Drosophila melanogaster: one gene and its partners. The protein of the gene in region 2 interacts with the protein of the main gene of each other region in a pairwise test. Each region holds a gene or a part of one and is shown on either strand. Other genes may lie near its edges.

Region 1 (4,954 bases), on a different chromosome or scaffold from region 2:
GCGGCAGCTTACTGTTGGCCTGCTTCACTTGCAGTTTTCGAGAGGGAACAAAGATGTCCTGCTCACCGTCCTCTAAAGGGGCATCCCATCCGTTGGTCGGAGCATCATCATCAACACCGGCAGCCTTCGTTTTGGGAGTCGGCTTGGCCTTGGACTGTCCCTCCACCTTAGGTGTGGGCTTGGGCTGCTCGTCTGTCTTCGGCTTCGACTGCTCCTCCTTCGTCTTGGAGTGGTCCAATTTCTTGCGCTTCGCAGGCTCTTCTTTTTCTGCCTTCAAGGTCGGTTGATCCTCTATCTTGGGCTTGGACTGGTCATTCTTCGGCTTAAGCTGGCTTTTCTTCTTCACCTTCGTCTGGTCATCTTTGTTCTGCTGTGGCGGTTCTTCCTTTTTTGCTTTCTTCGACTTGGGCTCGGCCTCCTTGACCTCCTCTACTACCCATGCGTTGTTTATGCTAGAACGCACCTTTGCATTGTAATTCACCTTCTTCTGCAGCTCAGGAGGCAGAGCCTTGCTAATAACCTCATCGTAGTTGTGCTCGTCCACCTCCTCAAAGTTAATGGACTGCAGTAGGCGTTTGCGTTTGGATTTGTTGAGCTTCTTCAGTTTTCTTCCGGTTGCAAAGACCTCGTCCTCCATCTTATCTAAGGCAGCCACTTTTTGCTCCACCATTTCGGACAGAGTTTGTCCCTCCACCTTTGGCATTGTCCTCACGCCAAGTGGAAACTCTCCTCTCTGGTAAGTCTCAAAGATCTGGATAAGTTTGCGCAATCCCTTGCGTCTCTTGCTGTTAAAATCGTTGGTGCGTAGCTGCGTCTGCAGCTCATCTAGTACGCAATCAGCGTTGAGCGGCAGCTCCGGCATGTGAACGTCCACGTTGCCCGCTCGGGGATCCAAGGATGTGGCCCGCGGCTGCTCCTCCTCGGCGTTGACCTCGTCATCCTCCTCGTCAAATCCAGAATCTAGTTTCTCAATGTCATCAATGGAGGCGGTGGGGAAACCCATCTGCTTCCAGGCATTGTACTTTTCGCTGTACTGTCGTCCTAAGTCGCTCTGGTACATCAGATGATAGAGTACCCTTGTGCGGCACTGTGCCACTAGCTTAGCATCGCGTTGTGTAGCAATGTAGGTGACAAACGGACGCAAGAACATATTAACCTGAGCAGCAGTGATCTCACCATTGGCCGCCTTGGCCAGCTCCTCAAAGAAAACATCTAGGTAGTGCATGGTCATGCCGCGAGACTTAGGCTGCTCCGACATCACAGAAAGCTGCATGCTGCTGTTGAATGCGGCTATCAGGTCCGCATTCCAGTTGTTCTGTTTGAGGAATCTCAGTAGATAACGCACCATGCGGCGGGTGAGCATCAGGAATTTGTCCATGCGCCACTGATCTATGCCAAAGTACTCCTGGCACATTGTGCGCATAAACGCACTAAAGTAGGCCAGACTGCAGGCCGTATTACCGCCGAAGCTGTCCACCATTTGAGCCAACTTCTCGGCCAGCTCCTCCTGCACCAGCGGCTTATCCGACATCCACATGGTGTAGTACAATCCCTTCCAGATGCGCATGAAGTCGTCCTCGTTGAAGGGAAAGGAGCTACCGGCACGCGCCTTGAACCACTTGCGCAAAATGCGGATCTGGCGATTACGCTCCACCACATCGTTGCAGGCAAGAGCACGTATAATTTTCACCTCCTGGGCGACCACCATCAGCTCCTTGGCCACCTTCGGCTGTGAAGCGTCCTCCTCCTGCTCGACCTGGATTTCGGCCGCCTCGGCGTTGCGCTTAACTGGCTTCTTGCGCGTCACCATTATCCGGCTAATTCAACTTTTAGTTGCGAAAAATAAGTGAGCTGTGTATATTGAATACGGTACGGCACGACCGCACGTGTTGCCGTTCGATGTTGCCAGATGTTGAAACGACATTTTCTCCAAATTTCGTCCAACAGCTCTAAATGCATGAGCTGTACTGAAAATGACAACAAAAACTCAAGCTAATGAAATAATTTTCAAAGAATAAAATAAAGAAAAAAAGAATAATAAAAAGAATATTTAAATTGCTAGTTTTGATACTTCATGAAACGCTTGCTTTATACATTTTAATACAATTTTATATATTTTTAGCCATTTATAGGTTGTTATTTTATAGCTACCAGCGCTGACTTCTTTACGGAAAGTGGCAACTCTCTTCCACAGCTGATAATTCGGTCTGCTTTTTGTAAATTTTGCTTGTCCAGCAAATTTAGTTAAATAATTCAAAGAAATCATGCCCGTGGTGAACGTGTCGGCTGCCGAGGAGTACCAGAAGTACATTAATGCGGATAAGACGACCGTAGCTCTATTCGCCGCCGAATGGGCAGAGCAATGCGGTCAGGTGAAAGACGCGCTGGAGGAGCTGGCCAAGATTACTGGCGAAAAACTGCAGTTCATCAGCCTAAACGCTGAACAATTTCCCGAGATTTCCATGAAACATCAGGTACGCTCGTATTTATTTTATGAAAATATAACAGTAGTTCCTCATTCATTTGCGATGCCACCAGATCGAGGCCGTGCCCACAGTCATATTCTTCGCCAAGGGCTCCGCCGTTGACCGTGTCGATGGTGTAGACATCGCCGCCATAAGCGCCAAATCCAAAAAGTTGGCCGAAAACGCAAGCAGCGCGGCGGCAACAGGACAAACGTTGGAGGAACGCCTAAAGGCCCTAATCAATACAGCTCCGCTGATGATATTCATGAAGGGCGACCGAAATGGACCGCGTTGCGGATTCTCCAAGCAGCTCATCGGCATTGTGAACGAAACCAAGTATGCAAATTGATCATCAGTTGTATTTGATTTCAAGTTATAAACGAAAATATCCTTCGATAGCTTGCCGTACGAGACATTTGACATCCTCGGCGACGAAGAAGTGCGTCAAGGCCTGAAAACCTACTCCGACTGGCCCACATATCCCCAGGTTTACGTCAAGGGTGAACTTATCGGCGGACTCGATATTATTAAGGAACTGCTGGCGAACAATGAGCTCGAGTCCACGCTAAAGGGCTAATTCCATCGGATTGCATCTACTCCTACAGACACCATAAACCAGAAACAAATTTTTAGCTAGATCCTTAGACTTTTTAATGGTTTAATAAAGGATTTTTGCTACATTCTGGTATTATTTTATTCATCGAAATTTTTAATAACAATTGTATTAAAGCAAATGTGCTATAGGTCATCCATAAGACATCTTACACGGGCTTCAATGGTGTCACCATAAATGTTTACAAACTTAACGACATAAATATAGCTAGAAATTTGTAAGAACTTTTTTATACACCAGCCCTGGTTTATCTGGTATTTTGCGTACCTTCATTTTGTAAACAGCTGTTTCGGCGTCGGCATCTTGCACATTATTTTCGCAATATTATTTATATTATTGAAAATACCCATTAACTATAAACTTATATCCAAATCTTTAAATGGCTGAGGGTAATACCGCTGGCGGAGAGGACCAAAAGCTGACGGACATCTTTCTAAAGGGCTGGAACATATTCGACGAGCTAGAAGTTACCGAACTGCCCTTCAATGGCAGCGAATTTCAGGTGTGTAATATTGAAGATCTTCATATATATGTAATAAAAACCAGCATTGAACGTTTACCACAACGTTTAGAACAAAGTGAAGACTGCAATGGGCCTTTTCGAGCAGGCCACCGTCATTGTGAACCAGGTTAGCATGTTCAGTGCCAACGAGTTGATCGACGAGGTGTCCACGGAATCGCTACCATTCATGCTGCTCCCTTACTTTCTGGGCAAGCTTACCACTAAGATCAACAGCCCCAATAACACACACTCCATAGAGCTGGGCGAGATTTACTTCAAGGACCACCTGCAGCGTTGCCAGGAGTATGATCTCTGTGCAGCGCCCAAATCTCAGGTGGCTAAGGCGGATAGCCAAGCGGAAAAAAGCGAGCAGCGCGAGCTGGTAGAGGCAGCCTTCAATAGAAACGACAAAATAGCCCAGTATCGCCGGATGAAGGAGATTGACGAGTATATGGCCAGAATGCGCGATGCAGTCAAGAACAAAACGGTCGACGATGAGGATAAACGTGTCTTTTTCCTCAAGTATTTGGACAAGAGTATAATAGACTCCAAGCAGGAATTAGAAACATTGGGCGTAATGAAGCAGCTGGCCCAGATGCGCCTTGCCCGATTGGCTGGTGGCGAATCCGACAACGAAGTGGATTCGTTCCGTCCACCGAATCAAAATCAATCTTCTGCATCGTCCACCTCCCGCGGTCATGGTCACAGCCACGGACCCGGACACCACCACCATCATCAGCAGGCCGCTAAGCCAAAGCCCTTGCAGCCCTTCATCATAACACGTAATGCCACCCAGAAGGCGGTTTTCGGCTTGGGATACCCCAGTTTGCCCATTATGACTGTTGATGAATTCTACCAGCAGCGCGTCGACGAGGGCATCTTTCCTGATGAGGAGAAGGTTGCCAAGATGAATCAGGCACAGGCCATCGCGGCCGCCCGGGATCCCAACGAAAAAGAGGACGAGGAGAAGGCCGTTGAGGAGCTACAGGCGGAGCAGGATGATCCCGAGTATATAGACCGCATGAGGCGCATGGATGAATACAAGGATGTGGTGCGTCGCGGTGACGGCAACCGTCATAACCGTAGTTAAGGAACTCAAAATTTATGTATTTTTTTAAAACCCAATAAAATGGTATAACCGCAAGACTGGTTTTAAGTCAGTATATTCAAAAAATAATTCTAGTTTCTAAATTTATTTATAAATCCTAGGGATGCGCTATTGATAAAATAAAAATTGTTTTCTTTTTTATTGAATTGACAATATATACAGTAAATAAATAGTTAGAATAGTTCCACTGTTGCAGTATTGGTAGGCGTTTGGCTGTAATCGCGCATTTTGCAGCACTGATTGTCACCACCAGTAACAAAAACAAA
Region 2 (6,827 bases):
GAACGTGCCCGCCCAGCTGGAGGAGATGTCGCAGGCCATGATTCGTGGTGTGATGGACGAGAGCGGCGAACAGTTTGTCGCCTACTTCCTGCCCACAGAGCAGACGCTGGAGAAACGCCGTACAGACTTCATCAATGGCGAGCTGTACAAGGAGGAGGAGGAGTACGAGTACAAGATCGCTCGAGAGTACAACTGGAACGTGAAGACCAAAGCTTCCAAGGGCTACGAAGAAAACTACTTCTTCGTGATGCGTCAGGACGGCATCTACTACAACGAGCTAGAAACCCGTGTGCGCCTTAACAAGCGTCGCGTTAAGGTTGGCCAGCAACCCAACAACACCAAGCTGGTAAGTATATTTATGCGCATACATCTATAGCGAGCTTTACTTTGTATTATTTCTACCAGGTTGTCAAGCATCGTCCATTGGACAGCATGGAGCATCGTATGCAGCGCTATCGCGAGCGCCAGCTAGAAGTTCCTGGCGAGGAGGAGGAGATCGTGGAAGAAGTGAGGGAAGAGGAGCAAATGCAAATCATTGGCGAGACGGAGAAGACGAGCGAGGACGCAGCTGTTGGCGCACAGGCAGCATCTGGAGCGGACTCACCCGCCCAGGTAGCCCGCGATCGACAGTCTCGTTCTCGGAGTCGAACTCGCAGCGGGTCCAGTTCAGGATCTGGATCTGGCTCCGGCTCTCGGGCCAGCAGCCGCTCAAAGTCTGGTTCTCGGTCTGGTAGCGGCTCCAGATCACGCACAAATTCGCCGGCAGGATCCCAGAAATCCGGATCCAGATCGAGATCGGTATCACGTTCCCGATCCCGTTCCAAGTCCGGCTCTCGGTCGCGTTCTAGGTCGAGATCCAAGTCCGGTTCCCGATCACGTTCGGGCTCCAGATCTGGCTCTGGGTCGCGATCGCCCAGCCGGTCTCGCAGTGGCTCGCCTTCTGGTTCAGGATCCAGCTCTGGAAGCGCCTCAGATGAATGATTAATTACAAAAAACGGCGTTCATAATAAATAAGTTTATAATCAACCAAGTACATTTGAAAACTGAACTAACTCGATTTAATATCATTTTCGCCTCAACTCAGCGCTCGGGTTCGTTGCCCAGAATAGTTTTAAATAAAATCGGCAGTTTAACATAATTTATATTAGATGTTGTTGTTGTATTGCAAACAAGTCGGGTCCTAGTCGATTTACACTTGGCTGAGATAAAACAACTAAGATTCAAATAATATCCTCATAAGAAGATGTAATTAAGACGTTTTTCTTAGGGGGTGCTTAGGAATTGATTAGATCGCCTTTGGGGAAGTGCAAACAATGTAAAATGATATAAAAGGGTATAAATTAAGTGGATATATGCATCTTCGTTCCAACTACGTGGCGTCCATCAAAAAGCGCTGGAAGACTTCGCCATCGGAACTAGGTAGCTCTGTTTGTTGCGGTGAGTAGATTCTCAAGTTCTGGAGTTGCTGCAGCGGAGAGCCATTCCCGCTGAAGTGTACCACCGCAACCGGCTGTAGGGATATGAGCTGTCCCTCCTCCCGCGGCTCCACACCACAGATGCCCAGCTTTTGGCACTGCTCAACGACAATGTCGTCGATTGACTGCGAAAGCAGTGCCTCCTGCTCAGGATCCACAATGGAGCTGCTGTTGATGGCAGCTATTTCGGCGCTCGCTGGTGAAGGCTGAGTATGCGAGTCGTTGCCCTCCAGGAACGCCTTTATCAGCTGCTCCGGTGTCTGGGCCTCCTCGGTGGGACATCGATGGGTCCTTTGACTGACCTTGTACCTGAACGTCTTTTGGCAGAGCTCGCACTTGTAGGGCATCACTCCCGTGTGGATGCGCGTGTGGACAAGGAAAGAGACTCGCTGCCGGAAACACTTGCCTGTGGACGAGTCCGAAATACGAAAAGGTTAGACATGGAGTGACCCGGAAAAGAAGGTATACCTCTCCTTCATTTAAAGTAAATAGGGCAAATCGCAATGGAGTATGCTCATTTATAAGCTGGCTAACAAAATAAGGGGCGGCTAATTAAGGGGTTTGATCGATACTCACCGCAGACTTCGCACTTGAAGGGCTTTTCGCCGCTGTGAATCCTCTGGTGGTTATGCAGCGTAGACAGTTCCTTGAAGGCGCGTCCACAAACCCCGCAGACATGGGGCTTTACCTCGCTGTGGTAGAGCAAATGCTTGTGGTACGACTGCTGGAAGGTGAAGGTCCTGGCGCAGATCTCGCATGTGTACGGCATCTCGCCGGTGTGGAGCCGCTTGTGCTTCTTCAGAAAGTACTTGGTGGTGAAGGACTTGCTGCACACATCGCACTCCCACAGCTTCGGGGTGGCCGTGCCCGACTCCGGCGAACTGGGGGACTGCTGGAGCATGCTCAGCGCCCCACTCAGCGCGTATGGCTGGGATGCGGTGCACGTGGAGTTATTTCCGTTGCCAAGGGCTCCAGGCTCTGTGTGTCGAATGCGATCGCAAATGCTCAGCTTGGGCGTGGCAGTAACTGCACTGGTGGTAGAAGCGGGTGTAGGACTGGGATTAGGATTTGGATTGGGATTGGAGCAGGGCACGCCCATCATGTGCACTACTTTCAGGTGGATTCGAAGGGAGCCCTTCATTCGGAACGTCTTGGAGCAGAGATGGCACTTGTAGGGCTCCTGGTCCTGTATAAAGCAATAATCGGAATTTCACTTATATTTATCAATTCATCAATATGCCCTCATGGCCAAATATTCCATTACATTACCGTCTGTCTCTCAGTTTCAAATTTATGCACAAAAATCATTCACTTTCATTCACTATATCACAAAGTTGCCATGGTTTTAAATTGATCAAAAACAAATTAATATCTATCATATATATACATAGTCATATGAACAGTTGAAAAATTAATTGAAAATAATGGGAACGATATACGTACATACATCAGTTGTTTTTAAAATATAAGGGTATATAGATTTCTTTCTTGTTGTTGTTGATTTTAATTACGTCAAACTTTTGTTTCAGATTCAATGTAAATGGTCTAGCTTTTTAAGTATGATTTTTTTTTGCTGCCAGTGAGCATAGAAAAAAAAAATCAAAATCGATATAAGAATATGCGAAAGTGCATTACGAAACTCTTTAGATAATAGCACTTAATATATGTACATAGCCAATAGTTACCGGTTCCTTCTGTTGGGGTTCCTTTTGCTTGGGTTCTCCCTCCGCATTTTCGTGGACTAAGCGGACGTGCATGTCCCTCAGCTCGGTATTCCGGAAACTGAACTCGCAAATGTCGCAGTGGGCGGGCGGGGTGGTCCGCACAGGCGGTGGGGTTGGGACGACGGGCTTGGACCTGGTTCGCTTGGCCCTCCGTTTGGGAGGAGCTGCGGCAAGGAAGCCCCGGGACGAGGCGGGTTGGCCATTCGCTGGACTCTCGTTTCCCTCCTGAGCCATCAGACTTGTGTGCGAGAACAGGTGGATGGTGAGCTTGTCCAGCCCCAGGAAGAGCTCCTTGCAGTTGGCAAAGGGACAGGCCAGTGGGCCGTTGGCCGCCTTGATCAGCCTCTGCTGCAGTGCGTCAATACTGCCGAAACTGGGCACCGCGCAGAGCGGACACAGCACCGAGGTGGAACACATTTCGCCAGTGCACTCAATCGAATCTTATGCAAATGCTTCACCTCCTATTGGGATTATCCTCCTGTTCGGTCTGTGATCATCTATTCAGGAGTCCATTCCCAGACTGCCTAGTCTTTCTGCTTTCAAAATTTTCTAAAAATATCAGCAAGTGAAGATTTTTGAAAACTTTGGGCCCAGCAATCTGACTTCTCGGCACCGATGCCAGCTAACGAAATAATGAAAAATAATGAAATGCCCGGCGCGGATCGTCGAATCGTCAAGAAGACTTTCGGAAACACTCGCAGCACCGAAATCCCATCTCTCGAACAAGGCAGTCTCTTTTCTCCGTGTCTCTGGGTAGCTCATTTCGAAATATAGCTCTGAGCACGGCTATATACTATATGTATGTAGAATTATTTCTGGCCGATATATGTTGCACTGGCGGCCATATAGCCTTCGTTCTAGTCTTTGTAACGCACGATGCGCAGGAGCAATTCGCTGAGATGACCACATGCGATTTGCGGGACTTATCTAGAGATCTATCATTATCGCCAGATTGGTTTAATAATTGGCTTTTCCGCCAATATCCAATTGGAATATGGTTGGTTACTGCAATTGTCGCTCCATTTTTTAAGCACTCCATAAAAAGTAAACACATTAATATGTACTCTTATTGGAGATTTCTTCTTTCGATTTTAGTTTCGGACCAGTGAAAATCATTCGTTTCATTTTCGTAAATAAGAACTGAGAAAATATTATTATTATATATATTTCTTTATTAGGAAAATACGAAGATTGAGTATTTCAGATTGAATTAGCATATCCGTCTAAATCTTAATGCTGTAATGAGCTTACTTGAGATCTGATCAAAACCAATACAAAACCCACACCAAAGGTGGTAGCTAATATACATATTTTGTGTAATACTTTTGTAGAGTATTTACTATTCAGCGATTTAAACAAGCAATCGCCTAGACACACACATTTGTCCGCCTATGTGTATGTGCACCGAGCTATACCCCCACTGAATCGCTGTGTGCTATTTTTATGGCCGCGATGCTCTCTTGTTTTGACCCGCTTGGGCAACGCATTTTATTCGCTGTTTCGTTTAGATGGTCAATTTGTAAACACTGCGATGCCAACACGTGAAGATACGAGCATACGGGTTGAGATCATCGGATATCGAACGGAATAATAAATAAATATATTTTAGACTATTATTTTTTCTTCGGCAAGGGCAACTCAAGCGATATGATGCTCAGTCCGGAGTGGGAGGTTGTGGAGGATGTGTCATCCTTAAGGGAGCTCATGTCGGAGACGGAGGACCGGGCACTAGCCCCGTCGCAGGAGAACTTCTTGCCCTTAACATTGAGGTAGGAGGCGGTGTCCTGACCCTGCGAGGACTTGCCCGAGGAGCTGCTGTTCCAGGACACGCGGCTGCACGTGCGCTTCAGGTGCATCGGCAACTTGATTCCTTTTCGCAAGAGGATTCCAATTATATCCGTGCCGCTCTCGTCGCTGTTCGCCAGATCGGTGATCATGTTCAGCGCCTTGGTGTTACGCGCCTCCAGCTCCTGTAGAGACAGATCCCGCTCGAACTGCGCCAGGTACTCCTCGCTAAAGGGCCGCGCCTTGATCTCCCGCAACTGTGTCCGGATCTCTCGATTGGCCCTGTCCAGCTTCATTCGCTGGTCATCTAGTTCGCGCTCGATCTTCTCCAGAACTGCAGAGTGCTCCGCCCGACTAGCCTTCGCCTTCTCTATTTTGGAAATCAGGTCTTCCTCCTCAGCTCGCTGGGCTGCGTGCTTCTGCTGGTAGTGCTGTGCCTTGCACCTGAGAACCTTCAGTTTTTCCAGCTCGCGGCAGTAGGCCGCCTCAAGTTCCTTCAGCTCCAGTTCGGCCCGCTCGCGATCTAGAAATTAGAAGTATGGAAAAAATCTACCAATTTAACATTGAATTACACAATTCTAAGCCACCCGGCTTGTAGACATGGCTAGAATATGACCGCTTAATGTGCTATTATAGTTACTGAAAGTCGGAACGGACGGACGGAAATGGCCAGATCGACTCAGGTATGGATCTTGATCAAGAATATCTATTCTTTATAGAGCCAGAAAACCTAATTTGTTCCTATTCAATATCTGTATCTGTGAGTGTTATTAAAATTCAAAATTAGAGCAATGTTGCTAATACTAGTAACCCTTTCCACTCTGAATGGTCATTTATAACTCACCCTTTGAGTTTTCGTCCACAGATCGGAATGTTTTTCGGTAGTTATCGTTCGATTTGTCGAACTGGCGCAGTGTGTTTTCCAGGGCGACCACTTCCTTCTCAGCCTTGAGAACCTTTTTGTTGAGGGCATCGCCCTCGTCGGCCAGCATCTGCCGTTCCTGGGCGCTCACCACCTTCAGCTGTGTGCTGGTCATGATGGAGCCGTCCTCGTTTTTGCCTAGCAATTGGGCGGTAAGTTCAAAGCGCGCCTTCATCGCCTCAATCTGCTTCTTCCGCTCCCCGAGGTCGGCTCGCAGGGTGCTTAGTTCCTCGTTAAGATGCTTCTTCTTGAGGAGGAGCACATCCTCTTGGCTGCGAAGCTCAACGGTGCGATCTTTGATGGCGCGCCGGAAGGCAAGGCGGTGCTGCTCTAGGTCGTAGGTGCCCTGCTCGCAGCCTCCGATGCCAACCTCTAGGTCGCTGCAGCGCATCTTGACCATGTTGAGGTCGACTATGAGCTCGGAATTCTCGTATCGAATCTGGCGCAGTCTCTTGACGGTGCCCTCGCAGTACACCTGGGCCTCTTTAATCTTGAACCTGACCATTTCGAGCTCCTTCTCGTCGGCGTTGTACTGGACGACCAGGTTGTTCATGTTATAGTTTAGCTTCTTATTCTGCGCCTCCGTGGTGGCGATGAGGCGTTGCAACTTTTCATACTCCTGCTCCAGAGTGTTAAGCCGGGCCATGTTTGTGGCCTCTACCTCGGGGTCATCTGCCAGACCCTTGATCTCGGCGAGACGCCGCTCCGCCTCCAAGCACTTAAAGGACAGGCTGTAATGGATCTCCGTCTGCCGCTTGAGTTCGTTATTGACCTGCTGCTGATTGCGATTGATCGCTGCCAGGTTGGAGTTGAGCGAGTCGTTCTGCACCTTCAAGACCTTCTCCTCGTCCTGCAGCTCGATGACCTGCCTCTGGGTGCGGTACAACATCTCGTTGACCTTCTCCTGCTCCTTGTCCAGGT
Region 3 (5,447 bases), on a different chromosome or scaffold from region 2:
ATCCAAATTAATCCGGATGCAGTGCATCTCAACTCAACCTTCTGGTGAGCAAATTACCAATAATTTATTACTGTGGGTGGTAATAATCACCCAGTTTTTTTTTTTGAGATGTATGACAAGTGCGATTTTATTGGATCAACATTCTTGTCTTATCGTTGGTTGAAACTGAAATTCCTGGAAGCCTACGTGATATGACACAGTATTATTTATATATATCCAAAAGATAGCGAACATAGTAGTAGTCGCTCCAATATTTATATTCCATACGCATTATTTCAGCTACATACTCCATGTGCCATTTGAAACGGAGGACGATTCGCAGTCGGGGATTGTGTACGTGTGGATAGGCAGCAAGGCCTGCAACGAAGAGGCCAAACTGGTGCAGGATATTGCCGAGCAGATGTTCAACTCGCCGTGGGTGAGCTTACAGGTGGGTTCCATGTGTTAATGTGGTTCAACCATGTAGTGGGCTGTTTTGTGGAATATATTGTACATATGTTTATATTAAGGTACACGCTCTTGTTAATCGTTTCTTTTCATCCATCCTTTGCAGATTCTCAACGAGGGCGACGAGCCGGAGAACTTCTTCTGGGTGGCGCTGGGCGGCCGCAAGCCTTACGATACGGACGCCGAGTACATGAACTACACGCGGCTGTTCCGGTGCTCCAACGAGCGCGGCTACTACACGGTGGCCGAGAAGTGCGCCGACTTTTGCCAGGACGATCTGGCCGACGACGATATCATGATCCTGGACAACGGCGAGCACGTCTTCCTGTGGATGGGACCGCGTTGCAGCGAGGTGGAGGTGAAGCTGGCCTACAAGTCCGCCCAGGTCTACATCCAGCACATGCGGATCAAGCAGCCGGAGCGGCCGAGGAAGCTCTTCCTCACGATGAAGAACAAGGAGTCGCGCCGTTTCACCAAGTGCTTCCACGGCTGGAGCGCCTTCAAGGTGTATTTATAATTTTAGCCAACTGAAGGAGCATCGTCGAGTAGTTCTTTTAAATTTCCCTAATTCATGCACCGCCGCTATGTGGCCATTTAGGTCTCCGCAAGGAAAGCGCCTAAAAGGCGCTAGTTTTTGTCTTGCTTGTCTCGATTGGCGCCTTCGAGTCCCTGTCAGAGCTAGTGAATCGGCCTCGGGAAGTGCATTTATTAACCAGAAGTCGAAGAGCACGCCTGCAATGTGAGTTTAGTTTTATGAAATGAATAGAGGCACCTTAGAGGTGTTACCCACTAATCTTAGCCCGTTAGAGGAGCCCCATCGAGTTGTAAATTGGTCATTAAGCATTAAGTTAGACCTCTGTTAGCCGGATGCGAATGTTGTTCGCTGGGAAGATGCGCTGGGCAGCTGCCGTGACAGAGTAGCTGCCCCAGAAGACATGACAAAGCAAAATTGTATCGAGGGAAAAAGAATGAAAGGGCCAAGCCAAGCCCTTCCTTCAGGTCGTGAGTGAAGATCGTGTGTTTGTACTTTTATAAAATGTATTTAATTGTTTTGTATAATTAATTTAAATTTTTTTATTAGCTCACTTGCTCCCGCCCCTAACTAAATAATTAGCTAACTCCAAGAACGCCAAGTATTCGCCCACTCCCTGCGAGAAAACCACATGAGTATATTGAATGCAAATATACATACATATGTATGTATATCACATATGCCTACAAATACGCAATATATATATATATATATATATATACATACGCTGAGCTGAGAGGATTACTCCCCTGTGCTAGTCCTTTTAAAATGTTAACCTACTTAAAGCTAGCCTGTAATAAAGTCAAGGAAGCACTAAAACTAATTGTACAAATGCCCACGTATTTATTTTATTTTTATTAATCCCCTGAATAAACATTAGAAAAATTGAAATTCCTCTATTCGTGTCGCGGATTGAAGGAGGTATTGGAATAGATTTAATTAAGTTATGTGCTAATTTTTCGGCAAAAGATACATATAACATATCAGAATAGCACATATCAGCACATTATTGTTAGTTCGCTGCTATTATATTGGCCTCAGCTGTATCTGCGGTTAGCGAGTGCACCCACCGCAGTTAGCACGTGCCAGCACCTTATTTGGCGAATTCGCCACCATGTGTATCGATATGTCGATGGCAGGCGCTATCGATTTTGATGGATGTTCTCAAAGCGTGTTCGGCGCGGTCACACTGGTGGTTTATTTTATTCCGAAAACTATTTGTAATTTAACTCAAATTAAGTGAAAACAGCATGCCAGATGCCGAGCAACTACCGGACGGCTGGGAGAAGCGCACTAGCCGCTCCACAGGTAAGCATCGTGTGCAGTCCCGCTCGTGCCATGCCGGCGGTTTTCCGGCGGAATGCGGAACCGGCACGCTAAACTGAACCTGCACTTGATTGATCATGATTGATTTTGCAGGAATGAGCTATTATCTCAATATGTACACAAAGGAGTCGCAGTGGGATCAGCCCACAGAGCCGGCGAAGAAGGCGGGCGGAGGATCCGCCGGCGGCGGAGATGCACCGGACGAGGTGCATTGCCTGCATCTGCTGGTTAAGCACAAGGGCAGTCGGCGTCCCAGCTCGTGGCGCGAGGCGAACATCACGCGCACCAAGGAGGAGGCCCAGCTGCTCCTCGAGGTCTATCGCAACAAAATCGTCCAGCAGGAGGCCACATTCGACGAGCTGGCCCGCTCCTACTCCGACTGCAGCTCCGCCAAGAGGGGCGGCGACCTGGGAAAGTTCGGCAGAGGTATGTATATCTCCCCACTGTGCATTTGTCACACGTCCAGGATCGAGTGGTCCTCGATGTGTGTCCGTTTAGGAATAAGGCGCTTCCCACTTGAGGCGCAATCCAGAAACAGATTGGTACTTCCACTAGAGGCTCTGATTGTTTTCAATATTCAAGAGAAGAGAAGAGAAGATATATCGACCACTAATAGATTATAGATGCATAGTTATAGACAAACACTATTTGCAATTGGCTCCGCGGCATTTCTTTTTTAATCTTCCTTACCTTACACATTTTTGTACCTATAACTTCGCGAGCTACTTGCAATCGTAGAGTTTAGGCCACCCAACCGACCTGCAACTGCTTCTAATTACATTTCACATCTCACAGGTCAGATGCAGGCGGCTTTCGAGGACGCTGCCTTCAAATTGAACGTCAACCAGCTGTCGGGCATCGTCGACAGCGACTCCGGCCTGCACATCATCCTGCGCAAGGCATAGACTCATCGAGCACCGACCCACAGCACAACTCGCGTCCCTTCACATGAATAAAACGGAATGCCCAGCCATTTCAATATAGAATTATTTATTGTATTTTAAAATGTTAGGTCTTGTCTAGGCTAGAAGCGTTTCTCATTTGCCAATGTCCAGTTTGGCGGCCAGTAGCTTGGCTCCGGGCGTCTTACGGTCCGCGAGTATCTGGCTAAGGCTCCTCTCCGCCGCGATGGCTTTCTTGCAGTCGTCCAGCAGTGCGGGACACTCCTCCACCAGCTTGAGCAGGACAAAACAGGCCCGGTTGACGCCCAGCCAGGCTTTCAGCTGAAAAGGGAAAGGGAATCGCAATTAGGAATTGGAATCTGAGTGAAGCTGTTTACTTTGCGACTACTTATTTATTAGACTAAAGCTAAAGGAATGTCGAAACGTCATTAAATAAAAGAAAAAACTCAAAAGTACGATGCGTTTCTCATGACTGGGAAAAAGGAAGATACCCTCGGTTACCGGATGGCATGATTTTTGGGTACTTACCACATCGGAGGACAAGTTTTGGAGTAGCTGTTGGCTGAACGGGGTGCCCTCTCGCTTGCCATCGTTCTTGAGTATCTTCTTCAATACAATGTGCATGCCGGCCTCCTCGATTCCGGAGACCAACGGAGCCGCCGGCTCCTCCTCCTTTGCCTTTGGCTTTTTGGGCTCCTTTTTGGCTTTCTTCACCTTGGGTTCGGCATCATCTGCGGCCGCCTCCTTCTGCTCCTTCTCGTCTCCTTCATCGTCGCTCTCCTCATCTTCATCTTCATCTTCATCTTCGTCGTCGCTGCTGCTCTCGACATAAAGCAGTTTTCTGCGCTGTTTGGTGGCCTGGGCTATAATGGCCTCCACGTCATTGTGAGGCTTCTTCTTATCCTGCGGCTGCGGACCGGCGGCGTCTGCTGAAATGCGCCACTCCGGTTGGACGACGACTTGGGCAAGGGCCGAAGCAGCCTTCTCATAGGACTCGCCTTGAACTAAAAGGCAGAGATGCAAACGTACATTAATATCGTGAACATATTCTTGTAAATCCATATGTATGTTTCTGCTATGGCTTTCAGAAGTGTGCACTTACTGTGATTAAGAATATCGCCGGTGACCAGGCCGATGTGGCTGTTGGACAGCCAAAAGGCGGCATCCTCGGCGATGGACTGTGCAATCGGCGCCTCTATCTGCTCAAGGATCTCCTTGCGACGCAGCTCCTTCTCCTTTTTTCCAAAGGCTAGACCCTCCTCCACCGTGCGAATGAACTCTGGATGGAAGCATGTCGTATCACCCGGAGCCACCAGCCATTGAATCACTCGTCGGCCGTACGGGCTGCTCATTAGCGCCTTTAGATCTCCGTGTAGGTGATCGTAAATTGCCTTCTTGGTCGCCTTAGTGTCGTCCAGTGCGTTTAGCAGCGAGATGAGGAACACGTGGCCGTGCTCATGGTTGGCGATCTTTAGCAGGTGCTCCTTGATATTCTTGATAATGGCCTGAAGAAGGGGTTAGAATACATATAAGATTCTGTTTCATCAACACACGTTATACGTGATCCACTTACTCTGCGATTCTTGGGCGTCGACTTGTAGAAGCATATAACAGCCGCCTCGCTGCCCTCCTTGGTGGACAGCATGTGAGGCACTAGAGCCGCAAACGCAGTGACCGTCTCCTCCAGCTTCTCCTCATCTTCGTCGCAGGCGCGCAGGTACTCCAGCATCACGGCGTGCACCAGCGCACTGTCCACCAGCTGCTTGTTGGCCACATGATCCAGGTTTGCTTTAACCGACCCCAAAATGGAGGCCTTCATGTTCGTGGCCTCCTTATAGGTGTCGCTCAGAGTCTTCACATTCGAATCCTTGGCCTTCCGGTACAGATCGCCGTAGAACTCCTGGCGCATATAGATGCGCTGATTGGGTGTGGCGCTCTGATACATCGAATCCAGCAGCCCACTGCCGATGCTGTGTCCGGCCAAACGCACTATATGTCCGTACAGGCTGTCCACCAGCTTGGCTTTGGTGGCTGGCGCACCGTACTTGAGCATCCGTTGCACGCAGAACTGGGCGTATTTCGACTGGCACATCTCCACGGTGAAGGGAAGCAGCTTCTCAGAGATCTCGGCCCGCAGAGCTGGCGACGCGTACTTTAGCATGCTCTGGATCACGCGGGCGGTGTCGTGGGCCTTCACCACCTTTGAAATAGTGTCGCCCACGTTGAGCACCTTGTATATC

Evidence for each region. The genes of interacting proteins can lie anywhere in the genome.
Region 1: the proteins of CG14655 (region 2) and Grx3 interact in a two-hybrid assay, tested with the Drosophila melanogaster proteins (one large-scale study listed by BioGRID).
Region 3: the proteins of CG14655 (region 2) and dod interact in a two-hybrid assay, tested with the Drosophila melanogaster proteins (one large-scale study listed by BioGRID).

What each region holds. Positions count from the first base shown.
Region 1 is NT_033779.5:13,364,267-13,369,220, forward strand, and holds Grx3 (glutaredoxin 3), read left to right. Parts: upstream 1-2,180; 5' UTR 2,181-2,264; coding exon 2,265-2,474; intron 2,475-2,538; coding exon 2,539-2,801; intron 2,802-2,864; coding exon 2,865-3,042; 3' UTR 3,043-3,144; downstream 3,145-4,954. Other genes in the region: Nnp-1, read right to left, coding at 1-1,810; Tap42 (Two A-associated protein of 42kDa), read left to right, coding at 3,458-3,580, 3,651-4,670.
Region 2 is NT_033777.3:4,776,459-4,783,285, forward strand, and holds CG14655 (uncharacterized protein), read right to left. Parts: upstream 3,845-6,827; 5' UTR 3,617-3,844; coding exon 3,161-3,616; intron 2,662-3,160; coding exon 2,052-2,661; intron 1,882-2,051; coding exon 1,370-1,881; 3' UTR 1,039-1,369; downstream 1-1,038. Other genes in the region: atms (antimeros), read left to right, coding at 1-346, 406-981; Ccdc39 (Coiled-coil domain containing protein 39), read right to left, coding at 4,813-5,507, 5,829-6,827.
Region 3 is NC_004354.4:21,343,222-21,348,668, forward strand, and holds dod (dodo), read left to right. Parts: upstream 1-2,136; 5' UTR 2,137-2,229; coding exon 2,230-2,287; intron 2,288-2,398; coding exon 2,399-2,731; intron 2,732-3,100; coding exon 3,101-3,210; 3' UTR 3,211-3,342; coding exon of another isoform or gene 3,343-3,528; 3' UTR 3,529-3,637; downstream 3,638-5,447. Other genes in the region: fliI (flightless I), read left to right, coding at 1-44, 280-430, 554-964; peng (penguin), read right to left, coding at 3,343-3,528, 3,736-4,211, 4,310-4,712, 4,781-5,447.